Lepisosteus oculatus: one gene and its partner. The main gene of each other region encodes a partner of the protein of the gene in region 2 in a complex. Links are inferred from orthologs where the notes say so. Each region holds a gene or a part of one and is shown on either strand. Other genes may lie near its edges. The genes, in order: gigyf1a and tnrc6c1.

Evidence for each region.
Region 1: the proteins of tnrc6c1 (region 2) and gigyf1a are in contact, whole or in part, in a crystal structure (PDB 7RUQ), measured with the Homo sapiens proteins. The link is inferred for Lepisosteus oculatus from reciprocal best matches to the Homo sapiens genes TNRC6C and GIGYF1. Residues at the interface, in NP_001136112.2 of Homo sapiens: Arg1719, Pro1720, Pro1721, Pro1722, Gly1723, Leu1724, Thr1725; in NP_001362694.1 of Homo sapiens: Tyr479, Asp481, Pro482, Gln487, Phe490, Trp498, Tyr503, Phe504, Leu508.

What each region holds. Positions count from the first base shown.
Region 1 is NC_090698.1:9,897,695-9,906,163, reverse strand, and holds the start of gigyf1a (GRB10-interacting GYF protein 1), read right to left. Parts: upstream 3,256-8,469; 5' UTR 2,998-3,255; intron 1-2,997. Other genes in the region: pop7 (ribonuclease P protein subunit p20), read left to right, coding at 6,369-6,818. UniProt on the Homo sapiens protein: May act cooperatively with GRB10 to regulate tyrosine kinase receptor signaling. May increase IGF1 receptor phosphorylation under IGF1 stimulation as well as phosphorylation of IRS1 and SHC1.
Region 2 is NC_090704.1:44,664,645-44,672,884, reverse strand, and holds the start of tnrc6c1 (trinucleotide repeat-containing gene 6C protein), read right to left. Parts: upstream 3,402-8,240; 5' UTR 3,191-3,401; coding exon 3,135-3,190; intron 1-3,134. UniProt on the Homo sapiens protein: Plays a role in RNA-mediated gene silencing by micro-RNAs (miRNAs). Required for miRNA-dependent translational repression of complementary mRNAs by argonaute family proteins.

The DNA of each region.
Region 1 (8,469 bases), on a different chromosome or scaffold from region 2:
TCCCCCTGAATTCACCAGCACACACACACACTGTCACACCTGACTGTACTGTAGACACTGCTAGAGCCACTGCTGTCCCTCTCCTCTCACACTCACCCTGAATTCACCAGCACACACACACACTGTCACACCTGACTGTACTGTAGACACTGCTAGAGCCACTGCTGTCCCTCTCCTCTCACACTCCCCCTGAATTCACCAGCACACACACACTGTCACACCTGACTGTACTATAAACACTGCTAGAGCCACTGCTGTCCCTCTCCTCTCACACTCACCCTGAATTCACCAGCACACACACACACTGTCACACCTGACTGTACTGTAGACACTGCTAGAGCCACTGCTGTCCCTCTCCTCTCACACTCCCCCTGAATTCACCAGCACACACACACACACTGTCACACCTGACTGGACTGTAGACACTGCTAGAGCCACTGCTGTCCCTCTCCTCTCACACTCCCCCTGAATTCACCAGCACACACACACACTGTCACACCTGACTGGACTGTAGACACTGCTAGAGCCACTGCTGTCCCTCTCCTCTCACACTCCCCCTGAATTCACCAGCACACACACACACACTGTCACACCTGACTGGACTGTAGACACTGCTAGAGCCACTGCTGTCCCTCTCCTCTCACACTCCCCCTGAATTCACCAGCACACACACACACACTGTCACACCTGACTGGACTGTAGACACTGCTAGAGCCACTGCTGTCCCTCTCCTCTCACACTCCCCCTGAATTCACCAGCACACACACACTGTCACACTTGACTGTACTGTAGACACTGCTAGAGCCACTGCTGTCCCTCTCCTCTCACACTCCCCCTGAATTCACCAGCACACACACACACACTGTCACACCTGACTGGACTGTAGACACTGCTAGAGCCACTGCTGTCCCTCTCCTCTCACACTCCCCCTGAATTCACCAGCACACACACACACACTGTCACACCTGACTGGACTGTAGACACTGCTAGAGCCACTGCTGTCCCTCTCCTCTCACACTCCCCCTGAATTCACCAGCACACACACACTGTCACACTTGACTGTACTGTAGACACTGCTAGAGCCACTGCTGTCCCTCTCCTCTCACACTCCCCCTGAATTCACCAGCACACACACACTGTCACACTTGACTGTACTGTAGACACTGCTAGAGCCACTGCTGTCCCTCTCCTCTCACACTCCCCCTGAATTCACCAGCACACACACACTGTCACACCTGACTGTACTGTAGACACTGCTAGAGCCACTGCTGTCCCTCTCCTCTCACATTCACCATTAATTCACCAGCACACACACACACTGTCACACCCTGCTGTGAACTGTAACACAGCAGACACTGATAGAACCACCACTGACAAAATTTTTATTTAAAATAAAAACATTTCAGTCTTTAAAAACGGTGCTTTCAAGTCTCATGGTATTCTCATCATCGTCTCAATAGTTACCCCCCTCCAAAGCAATGCCTTAAAGAAACAAAACACTCTGAATAGACAAAATCATACAAACGTGCCTTAAAGTAAAGTACCGAACAGCTGAAAAAGAAACTCAATCCTCCCCCTAAAGGCAACACTGCTTTGTTGCTGACCAGCCCAGCTCCAGATCCGGACAACTATACTGGTTTAAACCATCAGAGAGAATAGTGTGTATCACTGGTCCAGGCGGAGACCGAGTTATGAAGAAACCCAGGTCTCAGTGCCTCACTTTCGTGAGTGCTCGGTCACCGAGGGGCACCTAACTCAGGATTTCATCGCAGCGCAGGGCCGTCCACTTTCCAATAAGTACTGAATCGACCCTTGATTGCTGAATTCGCTCCGATCGATAACGAAGGATCAGCCGGAGAGTAGGCTTTAATGAGATAAGATAGATCAGATTTTTATCGTCCCCTGGGGGAATTTTTTTTATGGATGACGGGGAACGCAGGTGCCGGACCTGACAGCCCCCTGCCAAAAACGCACGGCGAGACCGTCCAAAACAACGTCCGTGCGGGACCACACCTCCACGGACCGCACGCAGAAAATCACCCAGCTCCCTGAACCACAGGCCAGCGCCAGCTCGCAGGGATCGGAGTGCGCGCACTGCCCTGCGCGGTTTTAGCGCATCCGAACAAAACTTCAAAACACAAAAACTCGCCGCCGCCGCCGCCGCCACAAACCCGTCTGCACCTTGGTACGGTGACAAGCACCTCAGGGGGGACAGTCCTAGCTTGCGGGGAGCTGCACGGCGCCCCCTGAAAACTGCCCGTCCCCACCCCACACGCCAGGCTCCCGGACCCACTGCGCGGCTGCAGTCCGTCACCTCCACGGCGTCAGAACAGGCGCACCATCGGCACCGTGAACACCGACACGACCCGCTCTGCGCTCACGCCGCCCCGCCAGCCCTGCCGCCCGGTCTTGATTAACGCATGAGCGGCGCAGGAAACGCAGCACCACCTTGTTACAGCACCGATGGCAGAAGCAGCTGCAGCTGCGGCGACGTCCCAGCAACGGCCTACCCTGCGCGGTGCAAAGCGACGTTACTGAGGCTGTCGTGGGAGGAACAAACTAAAAACAAACAAACCCGTGCAAGTTCCAAAAAAGACGGGTGTCGCACAGCTGTGCACGCCGGGCGATCCTGCACCGATCCAGCCCCCGAGATTCCCGGTCGGGAGAGAGGGGGCCCGACGCTGCAGGCCTTCCAGCAGGGAGGGGGAGGAGGAGGAGGAGGGGGGGGCGGGGTGTGAGAGGCACTGACCCCCTCCCGCCCACCTCCCCTCCCCGCCGGCCGCCCCTCCAACTCTACCCCGCTGCTCTCGCCGCGGCCTTCACCTGCTCTCGGTCTTTCCTCCTGCCCTTTCATCCCCACGACGAGGCGAAAGAAACCCTCAATCCGCGCAAGACTTAGAGCCCCCCAAACAGACAAACCGCACCCTTGTCGCTTACACACACACCTCCTCCTAAAAAATACAGTTAAACCCGGGAAGAAGCAAGTCTGGCGCTTACCTGCGTTTTGTTTATGTTCCCGACTTGAGTTTTTTAAATGTATTTCTCTCTCCTTGAATTATTTTGTTCGTCTTCTTTCCGCTGTCTCGATTTTTTTTCCTCCGCCGGATTACTCGCTGCTATTATTATTAATAACTATTATTACTACTGTTGTTTTAAATTCTATTTTTAAATGCAAGTAGTATCCAACAGTCGTTGCGCGTTTGTCGCTGTGCTCACTCGCTCCTTGTTTGTGTTTTAAAAAAAGATGGCCGTCCTACTCGCGCCACGTGATAGGGGAGCTCGAGAAGCTGAGTTTTTCCCCGAACCACAGAAGTCGCCCCCTGTCACGTGATATATGATCCAGCAGGGTTGGAGGATGCCGCGCGGCTCCGGCTTCTAACTCTGTTTTTTCACTTAATGCGCCAGCATAATGTGTGGAGTGCTGTTCATGTGGACCCCTTAACTAAAACCAGCTTGCAATGAAAAACACGAAAGGCCCTCCTGGACCAGGACTAGACAGCTTGCTTTAAAGAGACCTGGAGAGACTGCAGACACACTGACCCCTCCAGGACCAGGACTGGACAGCCCTGCTTTAAACAGACCAGGAGAGACTGCAGACACACTGACCCCTCCAGAACCAGGACTGGACAGCGCTGCTTTAAAGAGACCTGGAGAGACTGCAGAAAACTGACCCCTCCAGGACCAGGACTGGAAAGCCCTGCTTTAAAGAGACCAGGAGAGACTGCAGACACACTGACCCCTCCAGAACCAGGACTGGACAGCCCTGCTTTAAAGAGACCTGGAGAGACTGTAAACACACTGACCCCTCCAGGACCAGGACTGGACAGCCCTGCTTTAAACAGACCAGGAGAGACTGCAGACACACTGACCCCTCCAGGACCAGGACTGGACAGCCCTGCTTTAAAGAGACCTGGAGAGACTGTAAACACACTGACCCCTCCAGGACCAGGACTGGACAGCCCTGCTTTAAACAGACCAGGAGAGACTGCAGACACACTGACCCCTCCAGGACCAGGACTGGACAGCCCTGCTTAAAAGAGACCTGGAGAGACTGTAGACACACTGACCCCTCCAGGACCAGGACTGGACAGCCCTGCTTTAAACAGACCAGGAGAGACTGCAGACACACTGACTCCTCCATCACCAGGACTCGACAGCCTTGCATTAACTGTACAAGAAGCCTTTTCCTTGCTCTGCAGCAGGTGAAGGTTTAAAGGGACCTGCAAGCCCCAGAGCTGGGCGCCTCTGATTTAAATACACCTCTTTCAGCAGCACTCAGGGCAGAGAACGGATGACATATCTTCACACAAAGGACAGTGGGTTTCTGGAAAACGTTGCCCAAGAGCTCTGTTGAAGCTGATTCCCCTGGATCTTATAAGAAAGGGCTGGATAGGATTTGTGGCTCATTAGCAATCCAATTAGCACGAGGGGCAGAGGGGCCTGCTCACTTTTGTAACTCTTTGTATGCACTTGTGCGCTTGTGAAGTGACCCTCCTGTCAGCTGGGAGAACGTTGTGCAAGTCAACTCATACGCTTCATTCCTCCTTCGCCTCTGCAGATCTGGAAACTCCCTTCTGGGACTATTGGAAAACGCGCATGGCTGCGTCCATCACAGGCCTGACCATGTGGTGTTTGCATGTTCTGCCTCCGGTCTGGTTTCTGAAAGGTCACTCTCGGGGTCATTTCCCGCCTCCCCTCTCATGCGTGAGCCTGGGTCTCGTCTCTCTCAGACACAGCTGGTTTCCAGACACCGGGCACTCATAAAATCCACCTCCATAGCATCGGCTTAAACTTCCTCCTCTAGATGTCAGAGCAGCACATATTTTAGGGAAAAAATTCAATATGTGGCTAAAATAACTTTAAAAATCCACCAGCCGTTGTATGAAGTTCCATAATTCAACACTTTTATGCCACATAGAGGAACTTCTTGCCGTTTCAGATGGCTATTGGACTTCAAACTTAAATCAATTAAGTTTTTCAGGGGTTCACATACTGTATCTATATATAGGCGCTAACTCCTCGTTGTCATGCATTTGTTGGTCGCTGTGGCGTCCGTCTATTAACGTTGTCCTACCGGGGCTTTCCGCCTTTCCGGGTCGGACCAGTTCAGCGGTGTCGCTCTAAAACCCTTCCGTCTCTCTGCATGCGAAGCCCCAGGACGGGGAGCCGAGGCCGCTGTCCGGGTCGCAACAGCACGAACGACACCACCGACGTCGATCTGTAGTCTTCAGTTCTTTCACTTGGAGAAAAGGTCAGTGGTTTCGGTGTGCAAAATAAAAAAACAAAAACAAACGAACTAGCTGAACCAATGTCAGGAGCCGTTTTAAGTTACCGCAAAGAGGTGGGCCACGTCATCTGCACCGATGTTTCCTGACGCGTTAAGCCGCCAGAGAAGCTCACCTAATCGGCCTTCACCAGGGCATAAAGCCCCCCTAAACTTAACTCGCTTTATTAAGGCAGAAATAAATGTTGTATGTTCACTGTGCTGTCGTCCGATTTCACTAAAGAGCGCGAACACGTTTATTACGAAAACGTGAGAGTAAAACCGATGAAGCCGAAACTTTGAATGATGAAATCAGGAGGATTTTATTCCGGAACTTTTCGGAACACATTTGCCAGCAAAATAACTCTTCATAAAATGTATTGCTCTGTTAGCTACGACTTGCGTGTCGTCCTGGGATTGTTTTCATTTTGTTTGGCATTACTGTATCTCTCCATTCATGGCTGTGCAAACCAGCAAAGAAATTCTGTCTCTTCTCCCTTAAAATGACACATTCCCTGCGTTTCGCCGCGTAATTCCAAATTCAAATACATTTGGTGTAAACATAGGCTAAAAGCTTTGGAGGCGTCTGACAATCGACCAACAATAACAGTAACAGTAAACCAACTGGATGTGTAAGTTTTACTGACAAAGTCATCATAAATGTATTCCATTGAATATTTAAAGATTAGGCAAAAAAAATATGTACAGTACATGTTTCTGCAGTTTTACATAAAGAATAAAACCCAGGTTTAACCCAGGAATTCTCTACCTTGGTGTTCTCCTTCATATATTAAAAAGACAGTACACATACTCCGTTTATGACTACATTTGTACAGAGAGGAGTGTGATGATATTCTACTGTTGTCAAAGGCAATGCTACTTGGCACAGGACAATATGATTGCATATATATTGCTGGATATTAATGTATTAGCCAATATTGTTCACAAAGTAATTATGTTTTAACACAACACCAACTCCCTCTGCCTGCTCCTCCTCCCTCTCCCTCTCCCTGCCTGCTCCTCTCCCCCTCTCCCTGCCTGCTCCTCTCCCCCTCTCCCTGCCTGCTCCTCTCTCCCTCTCTCTGCCTGCTCCTGTTCCAGTGTGATGGCAGATCCCCGGAGTCCTGTGTCTGTCCCTGCCAGTGGAGGCACTGCCCGGCCACTGGGGGGCGCTGGCGAGGTGGAGATGGACCCCGTGGAGTTCACCCTGCGGAAGCGGCTCCCGCGCAAGCTGCCGCGCCGCCGCAACGACGTCTACGTCAACATGAAGACCGACTTCCGCGCCCAGCTGGCCCGCTGCCAGAAGCTGCTGGAGGGCGGCGGGCAGCGGGAGATCTGCGTGCACGGCCTGGGCCTGGCCATCAACCGCGCCATCAACATCGCGCTGCAGCTGCAGGCCGCCAGCCAGGGGGCGCTGCAGATCGCCGCCAACACCTCCACCGTGGAGCTGGTGGACGACCTGGAGCCCGAGGACGAGGAGGGGGGCGAGCCGCTGACCCGCACGCGCAACAACTCCGCCATCCACATCAAGGTCTTCTACGGCGAGGGGCACTGAGGGGACTGGAGCGGGCAGGGACGCGCTGACCGGTCCCGCAGGGTCTCCGGTCCCGGGGCATTCTGGCTCTCGGAGGACAGCGCGTTGGGAGATCCCGTCTGCACGCGGTGTTGCACTGATCCGCGGCAGGACGGCCCAGGCTCCTGATCGCCCCTGCGTGCCCCCCCCCCCCCAGCTGGTCTCTGAGCAGGTCGTCACTTCTCGGCCGTTGCTGTGGTTTAATGACTGCTGGGACAAGAGCTGACAGCCTGATCACACCGCCGCGCTGCTGGAGAAGGTGCGTGGGTCCTGCTGGGTGGGGTGGGCCTGCGCAGGCCCAGCGCCCTTTCTGCCCCATCGCCCTTTTTCCAGGCGAGAGCCTTGACTCTGTGCCGTGAACAGGACGAGGCTGGAATCTGAGCAGCAGCCTTTCCCTGACGGTGTCGGCCAAGGAGATGCTGTGCAAAAAGAATGACGCTGATAGAGTAGTTTTCATCCCATCGGCAGTCGTGTCGTGTTTCACGTCGTGAGACATCAGCGAAAACGGACTTGCGTTCCGGGTGCGGGTTTGTCCTGAGGGATCCAGGAAGGAGTGGGTGCCTCTGGTCCGCTTGGATTCAGGCTGGAAAGGCAGAGCAGTGAGGCGGACGGAGGAGGGTGACCAGTGCAGAGCTGCAGTGCTTGGCTGTTCGTGTGTATTTCAGCCCCTGGGAGGTCATGGGTACATCCGTGTGGGCACACTTGACACGGGACGGTTGTTTTGTTTCTGATTGTTCCTCTGTAAATAAAAGTCTTTTCTGTTTGACTGAATCCCCTGGCATCTCTTAGGATTGGTATGTCAATAATCCAACAGTAGGTAAGGCAGATTCCCAAGCCTGCTGCTTGCACTTGCAGACATTTACACCAACAGGTCTGTGGAGGCCAGGCTATACTACAGGATGCCTTTCTGATTTCATCAGTACCATTAGTGCAAGAGCCTCCTTCAGCTGGTAATACCTGGGGTGGATCAGCTCCTGCTGTGCAGTGAGAACCTGATGGCAATCGCTGTAAAACCCGGAGTGGATCAGACTGCTGTGCAATGGGAGACTGATTGACCATACTATAAAACCTGGAGTGGGAGTCTAATTTGTTTTTGTGTGTTCTTTGTGCTTCACCATTCTTTGCTGTAAGCTTCCTTCCCAGCTGATAATTAACTCAATTACAGTCTTGTATTAGTTCAGGTGGTCAGCATGCGTAGGCTGCAGAGGAACAAGTAATAGGTTTCAGGTGAAGAAGAAGAAGGCTTCACGGCCAAAAATTTTTGTTTTCTTTCTTGTCTTTTCAGCATGGAATAAACCTATTGTTCCTTTACAGTCTTGTATATCCTATGTAATAATTTAATATTATCACTAGGGGGCACTCACGCAGTAGCATCTAGAAGGTCTGCATCTCAATAGTTCATGCAAACATCGGAGAAAATAAAAGTCAGGTCATCCATACCTTTGTAAACTGGTGCTGCATTTGTTAAAAATGAGCAAAACAATCTCGCTCATCCGTAACTTCACATTAACACACATCACCATCAGATCTGTAGAGACTGTAAAGACACTCAGTCCAGCTCATCTGTATCTTCACATTCACACTCATCACCATCAGATCTGTAGAGACTGTAAAGACACTCAGTCCAGCTCAT
Region 2 (8,240 bases):
GAGCAAACACAAAGGAAAGATTATTTACTGCTAGGCTCAATTTCTTTCCATTACACTGTGTGGTTACGTGCTTGCGGTTGCAGATGCGTTTGTTTTTTCTCAAGGTACTGGGCGATTATCTTCTTTCACATCTCTTCTATCATGACTGTTCTTTCTAATGATGAAAGACTCGGCACGGGCTCTGCCTCCCGCGCAGGTCTTCCAGGTCCGGAGTGCAGGCACAGGCAACCGTTACATACGAACGGTGAAGATTAAAAAGACCTTTGGGATTTAAGTAAGAACTGGACAGCCTGGAATGGGGTGGGGGTGGGGGGATGCGGCAGGGAATTTCTCTCTGCCTTTAGCTGCGCGGCAGAAAGCTCTTTCCGAAGGGAGTGAAAAGAAAAGTTGCAAATAATGGAAAAATGTTCCATTTCTTTATTTGTGGCAAGATAACGGCAGCCAGATCTTGAGCTTCTGCAGCGTCCAATCAAAACAAGGCCAGCGAGCACTCAAGGGCACGGAGGTCTCCTGGTTTTTATTATCCAGTATTACTCAACAGGGCTCAGCTGAATAACATGAAGGCTACAGCAGCACACAGCTACAGTAGACCTGTAAGTGCCAGATGACCCACGAGGGGTCTTAACAAAACGGGTCTTAAGACGCCATCAGCTCACTTGGCAGCGATACTTCAACGTGAGCCGGGGGAACATACGTTGTTTGTTTGTTTGTTTGTTTGTTTGTTTTTTGGAGGTCAGCCGTCCCCCAGCCGCTGGAGTGGAAAAAAAAGAAGAAAGTTTGCCCCCAAAACTATTTAAAAACACAGTAAGTCCGGGCTGACGGCACAACGCAGGAGCCCAGACGCGACCCGCTCGCCGGGGGGGGGGGAGGAGGCAGAAGGCAAGAAGAGCAGAGGAGCAGGGCAGGAAATGCAGAGGGGCGAACGTGAGCGGGGGGGGGGGGGCAGACGGCTGCTCAGGAAGAGCCCTTTCCATCTCCAGCCACCAGGCACGGGTCCGTGCTCCTGCGCGCCTCGGCCAGAAGAGAGACGCAGAGGGAGGGGGGGAGAAGGAGAAACCGGAGGGAGGCGAGCGGAGCCCGACGCTCCGGGCTGAAGGCCAAGAATGTCGGCGCTGCAAGACAGAGGTGCGCGTTCCCACAGGGCCCTCCGGCCAGCACCAGCCGCAGGGCCGGGAGGAGACCTGCGGCCGGACACGGCGGCCACGGCCTCTCTCTCTCTCCTGCCTGCCTGCCTGCCTGCCGCGACTCTCGCTTGAGGAAGTCGCAGCTTTCCAAGCTTTCCCGAATGGGACTTAATCCGGCAATCCCGCAACCCGACGCTTGAACCCGGAACATCCGAGGAAAGACCAAACGGATCAAGAAAGCTTAAAAAAAAAACAGATGTCGCTGCAAAACAGAAGGGGGGGGTTGGGGGAAGATGTAGAAATCCTGCATTACGGTCTCTAATTTGATGGTTCAGAAATACTTAACCCCCTTCTCCGTGTGATGTGGTTCGTTCTGGCAGATGTAAAACTGTACCCCCTCTGCTCTAACTATGATTTTACCACCTCATGACAAACTAATTTTTTCAAATACTTCACTTTGAAAGTCTCAATAGCTCTAAAAACAGAACTCATGACTCATTTCTAAATCACCCAGCTAAGATTTTCATTTCCTCCAAGTGTAGCCCATGTATTCGTTAGCCTGCAAAAACAAAACACTTTCGCATATAGGTAGCAGATGTCTTTAACTTGGGTACAGTCATATCTGCACTACAGGATTTCTGTAGACACAACAGTTAAGATTATGCCAAGAATAAATAAGAAATGAGCAAACAATAAGGACTTCTGGAAGGGAAATGGAATGTTAATGTACTAGCATGTCTATAAAATCAATTTCCGTTGTGAAGAAAGTGTGAGGGTTTGACTATGTGGCCTCAAAATCATCCATCTGGTCACAAGTTTTCTTTCTTTGGAAAATGAGGTACAACTATCACGTAATGCCAGCTGCTTAGTAAGAACTGTATAAAACAAGTCAGTGCAAGAAAGGGAAATTACTCAATGAAAGGACAGATTTAAATGAAATTATATATAACCACAGAAACTGCCTTTACCATGGGGGGAAAAGCACCACACTTAAAACGCGACTGACCAAGAATCAGGTTTCTGAGTGGCAAAGGTTTACCTCCTGGACCAAAACGCAGTGTTCATCCTGTACAACCCAGTCCAACAACATCCAAAGAGACGCTTAACTACTGCACTGCAGCCCCGACACACATCCCTCTAACCCAGAGACACCCCAGCCTAGAGTTTTCCTGCTCGCTCTAAAGGTAGGGCCCACAATATGCAAGCTTTTTGTTTTTGTTTTTTTTTATTTGGTTTCCGGTTTTCAATTACTTTCTCACACTTGGCAAGTCCAGAGTAGTTTCGTATCCCGGCTCAAGGCTACAAGCCCCGGGACCGCGGGTGAGGAAGAGCAGACGGAGCCGGCCGCAGCCTCTCCCGTGTTCAGGAGGCTCGGCATCGCAGACATGCACTCCCGACTGGCGTGTCGGGACAGCAGGCACGCGGGTATCCAGGGAAGTCGCCGCGTCGCTGGGGGCCCACGACAGCCCAGCGAACTCACCCCAAGCCGGTCATCAGCACCGCTCGGTGCACACAGGTGAGGATGCCTAGATCACAAGAGCTCAACCTGCACAGGCTCCTTTGCCAGTACAGCCAACCACAAACCTCAGTGATCTCCACAGTTGAGGAATTAGACAAAAGGATTAAGGACAAGAAAGTCTGAAGGGGGGGGGGGGCTGGGGCTACCACACCTCAATGAGTCCTCAAAAACCATGACTTCCTCTAGCCTCATTGCCCTCCAACGCTTGAGAATCCAAAGATCTGCAAACAGAGGTCCTTGCAAAAGACACATCCCAGTCCCGGGACTGAGCCCAGGAGCAACACTGGGGTTAATACCACAAGGCACCCACTAGTCACACAAAAACAAGCTCGCCCCCACCCTAGAAGCACCCATACAGTAAACCGCTTCAAATCTCCAGCAATTAACAGAAGCAATAGGGCTTCTCAAGGGACTGCAAGGGGAAAAGCCAAGTAGAGCTGGAATGCCCACGAAGGCAGAAGACCCATTTTGTAGTTAAGTCACCCCCTTACCAACGGACAGAGGCATGTGTCCCACCGCTCCGTTTAGGTACCTGAAAGGAAATCATTGTGATCCGTGATAAAGTCACATTCCAGGGCAGACTGGATAGATTTCGGGGTGTTTACAACAGCTTTTGCATTCCTAAAACAAGCGCATCTTGCCACCAATAAACTCTTTGAAAATGTATGACCATTTCATACCACTACAAATGAGGCAGATTTTTAGAAAAGTGTTTCAATTTTCAAATAAAGGCTTCACCTTTCAGCGACAGCCTTCATCCGATCTAATACAATATGTACACATCTGACTTCATTATTTATCTAATAGTTATTTTCTACAGGATTACCTCTGGATAGCTTTGTGCATCTTTAAATGTCATAAAGAAATCTCATGTTGTTGTACCAATGTGAACAGAAACACACACCTGCCAATCTACTTACCAAATCCAGAAGCTTTGACTTGCTTTTTAAAAGTTAAAAATGCCATAGAAAAAAACGTAAAGCTTTCGATTTATAAATCTCAGCACAGGAAATTCATTAACTTCATCTGCTAACCCGCTTGACAACAGTGAACAGTATCAAAACTATAGTTTCATCTTCTTCCATTCTAGACTAAAAGAATTGCTTACATATTCACCAAATATTCCAGCACAGTCCCTGCATGAAACACAGATCATTATTTCACTTAAATGGATTTGTTCACTAATAAGAAATGCATGCATGAATTACACAAACAAATGCAGAAATAAAAGTATTCTGAGATAACAATACCAAAGAAAAATATTAAATATGATAAAACAGGCTCTAATTACAATGATTGAAACAGAAGCTGTCTATAAGCCATATGTAAAGCAGGCTTTAAACACGGGGAGGTGTCAATCAAAATAGCTGACAGTACTGATGCCTGTCAAGAGATAAAGCAGAGCAAATAAGAAAAGAGAGGTTTCTCTTTTAAAGCCAGAACAAAGCCTTTGAAAAAATGCTGAGTGACTGGAACGGTTTAGTGTCGGGTAAAGCACTGGAAAAGCATTCATCTCTCCGTGTGCGTGCCTAGATTTGAAAAATGCAGGAGAAAAAAAAACTCTCCGACGATGTTCAAAACCATGTGCAACCAGTGCTATTTATAATGCACACGACTGAAGGAAGCCCACCCCTGCTGCTATTTAAACCGATTATTATTTTTCGCACCACACTGAGCTAGACACAGACTGCAGGATGGGCACACACAAGTGCAGCAGGAAAGTGAAAGTGTCTCTTGAACCCTCCAGTCAGAACTGGGAGGGCAGGTTAGAACAATGTCACAGGAACACAGTCATATGAAAAACTTCGTAGAGAGAAAGAATCAGTGCAGCTTCCCAGGGTTCAACAAACGCATAAACCACAGTTTTGCCTGCCTCGGTGTCCGTGTGTGTGTAGAGGGGTGGAGAATGACTGCTGAAAAAAAGGACACCGAGACACATTTTGTAAACCATCACGTATAACGTTAAAGGGAAAAAAAAGACTTTTTTTCTTACTTAAATGTGAAAATTTGCAAAATTTGCAAAATTCAAACTGGAGTGAGATACGTTCTTTAAACACGCCCCTGCAGCCAGCTCCTGCTTAAAGATAGCCTTTCACTAAGCGTCCAGCCTGCGACATGCTGGACAAACTGAAAAGACAGACCGCTGACATATTCGGACAAAGCCAGGATCCAGCAGATGGAGGTCTGCACATTGTAGGAAGGAAATTTAAACCCTAATGGCTTCACACCATTCTGATGCAAAGAAATCCAATCGTGGTCCAAAAGGGTCAGTGTGTCAGCAGAATTGCTGGGTGTCTGTAAAGCAGCAGCACCTGAAGAGCTGGGAGGAGCTGTAAAATCGGTCCAGTTCAGCCAGAAACCAGCTGGTTTAGCTCATTAAGAGGCGAGTCGGAATGTGAAGCTGCAGGCACACCGACTCTCCAGGACTGGACACCCCTGATCTAGACCAACCAGAAACAAATACATGGAATCAAGTGAAAAAAATGTTTCTGCAGTTAACTAGCTTGGAATAGTACCAACAAATCAGGTAACAATAACAATAAAAAGAACAACAGACTGGCTGAACATCCCATTATGGAGAAGAAACTCTTATGGTTCACCTTTCCAAGATATCGAACGCTGTGCTTCTTTTCTAAAGAAAGCAATCACTGCACATTTAAACCAAGAACAGAGCATGGTTTCCGTATTTCACTTTAAGAAATCCGTTTCGTTTCCAGGGAAGCGAGATCAAATTTGGCACAGTCTGGAGTTCAACATTACATCACTAGAAAGTGAGGAAGTTACGGAAGGTAAGTCATCTGGCAGCTTCTTTTGAGGTTTTACTTGGGAGTGTCCCCATTATCTCACCATTCCAAATAAGCCCATGTAAAGTAAGAATAATGTAAGGGAGGGCCCCCACCCCCACCCCCACCCGAACACTAAGTTTCCCAAACCCTCCCCAACAACCAGGAGTGTTATCTGTGTGTCTGCGTCTCACATGGCAGCGCCAAGCCCAATGAACCTACTGAGAAACCGTCTCCCCCTACTGCTACTGTTTTCTAGACCTGCCGCTTCCAGGTCACTTATAATAATAATAATAATAATAATAATAATAATAATAATAATAATAATAATTGCTTACACTTATATAGCACTTTTCTGGACACTCCACTCAAAGCACTTTACAGGTCATGGGGATCCCCTCCACCACCCCCAGTGTGCAGCCCCACCTGGATGATGCAACGGCAGCCATAGTGTGCCAGAACGCTCACCACACATCAGCTATTAGTGGGGAGGAGAGCAGAGTGATGAACCCAATAGATGGGGATTATTAGGAGGCCATGATTGGTAAGGGCCAATGGGAAATTTGGCCAGGATGCCGGTACTCTTTTCAAGAAACACCCTGGGATTTTTAATGACTACAGAGAGTCAGGACCTCGGTTTTACGTCTCATCCGAAGGACGGCGCCTGTTTACAGTATAGTGTCCCTGTCACTCTACTGGGGCATTAGGACCCACACGGACCGCAGGGTGAGCGCCCCCTGCTGGCCCCACTAACACCTCTTCCAGCAGCAACCTTAGTTTTTCCCAGGAGGTCTCCCATCCAGGTACTGACCAGGCTCACACCTGCTGAGCTCCAGTGGGCTGCCAGTGGTGAGTTGCAGGGTGATTTGGCTGCTGGCTTATCATCTGATTCACACTCCTGGAGCAACTCGCTCACTGGGTACATCCCGAAACAGTCAACTCCTCCATCGGACCCAGGTGAGAGATTTAATGATCAAGCCAGATCTCACTCTCACCAGCTGTCCAAATAGGTGCCCTGTGTTGTCCAGGCCCATAATAACGCAGGCGCCATTTTCCTCAGCCAGGGTACTGTACAATCCCCACCGTGGGATTTTTTTTGTCTATTTTCAGAAGCACCGATAAAACTCATAAAGTTAAGCTGTTCTCAAAGTACGAACTTGATGCCCTGTTCTTCCCCTTAATAACCTGTGATCCTTTCAACACGGAAATGTGTTCAAGTGCTTTATCTTCCAGAGACAAAACACACAAAGACAGACGAACACCCTGTAACTACGAACAACCCGGCCTGCTTCAGCCTTTCCTTTACCCCTCCACATGCCTTTCTGCGTCCTTGGATGTTTTGTCTGCCTGGTTACACATGGGTCAGAGTGTCTCCAACACCTGGATTCCACTCACCCTTGGCTCTCCGCAAATCAAATTAGTCTGCATGGCTAAATGTGTCCACTGTGTGAAAAGACAAAGGGCGTACAGCTGTCACCTGATATTTGTGTGCAGGGACGCCTAGGGAGCCTGAAACCATGAGGCAAATACAACCTGTTCTTAAAACAGCTTTTCAGAAAAACGGCACTGGGATATAGGAGGCAAGAGATGAATACATTGTTAAGCACAATGCCGGGCTCTGGGAATAAAACCGCAAACCATTTGATGGAATCAACTTTACCGTATCACAAAAGTTGATGTTCATCGACATCAGTATTAATGGGTTAGGAATTTACTTAATTCAAACAGTACTCCTTTTTATTTGATTTAGACTCTATCATCCATCACAGTCAGGGTTACGTGCTCAGTTTTCAGAAAGGGAGTGGATTCAAACGCCATGTCTGCTTCCGTTTTCATAGATATAAATATCCTAATAACCATGCCATATAGTATAATTAAGCATTTCACAACAAGAAATATCCAAAGATTGCACCTTACAAGCACATGGCAAGAGATTTTTGTATTGATCTGGTCCCATCTCATAATGATTTCTAAAACAGCCAAATAAGGTGACAGGTCTTTTTAAAAACCATCCCTCCTGCCACATATCCAAAGACTATAGCAGGCATGAGTGTGATCGTCCAAACTCTCTCCTCTCTCGCTTCTCAGCCACAGTTAAGATGGCTGAGGAACCACAACAGGTGAAAGCTCTACCGATATGGACAGTTGTGTCAACACAACGCCAAAAAACGGAAAACACAAAGGGAAATTTGTTATGGCCGATTGTGCCCCAATACCAAAAAACTCCAATCGTATCGCCTAATGGAACAGATTACCAAGGCAAGCTGTGGAGGCAGAGAAACCAGCATCTTTCTGAATGAAGTCTGATGCTGTGGTAGCACCACTCAAACTGGGACAGAAGGAAAGACCTGTTCTTCCAAACAAATATTACAGACGTCATTCTTAAACCATACAATACTGAACATGGGAAGACCAGAAACAAAAATTACAGATTGCTGGGACTGGTCTGATTCCTACCATCAAAGTGAAAGACTAGAGATTGTTTAAACATCCTTGACACAGCACTGGCATTGCATTTTCTTAGTATGATTGCATTTGACTGGTATTTAAATTGTACCATTATTGCTCCTCCAAGCTGTATATTACACATGTATTCATTTTGTGCTGCTCTTGATATCACTGCACTGAACTGTACCGTCTTTGAATATTACTATCGTACGGCAGCACTGATATGCACTGTATTTTTTTTCACCGATTTGAATCACCCAGGCAAAGGGCACCTGCTAAACAAACAATAAAAGGTCACCACCGTTACACAGTTCTGGACTCACAAACGTGCTAAAATTAATCTTTCCCACAGCTTGCTCAAATCAC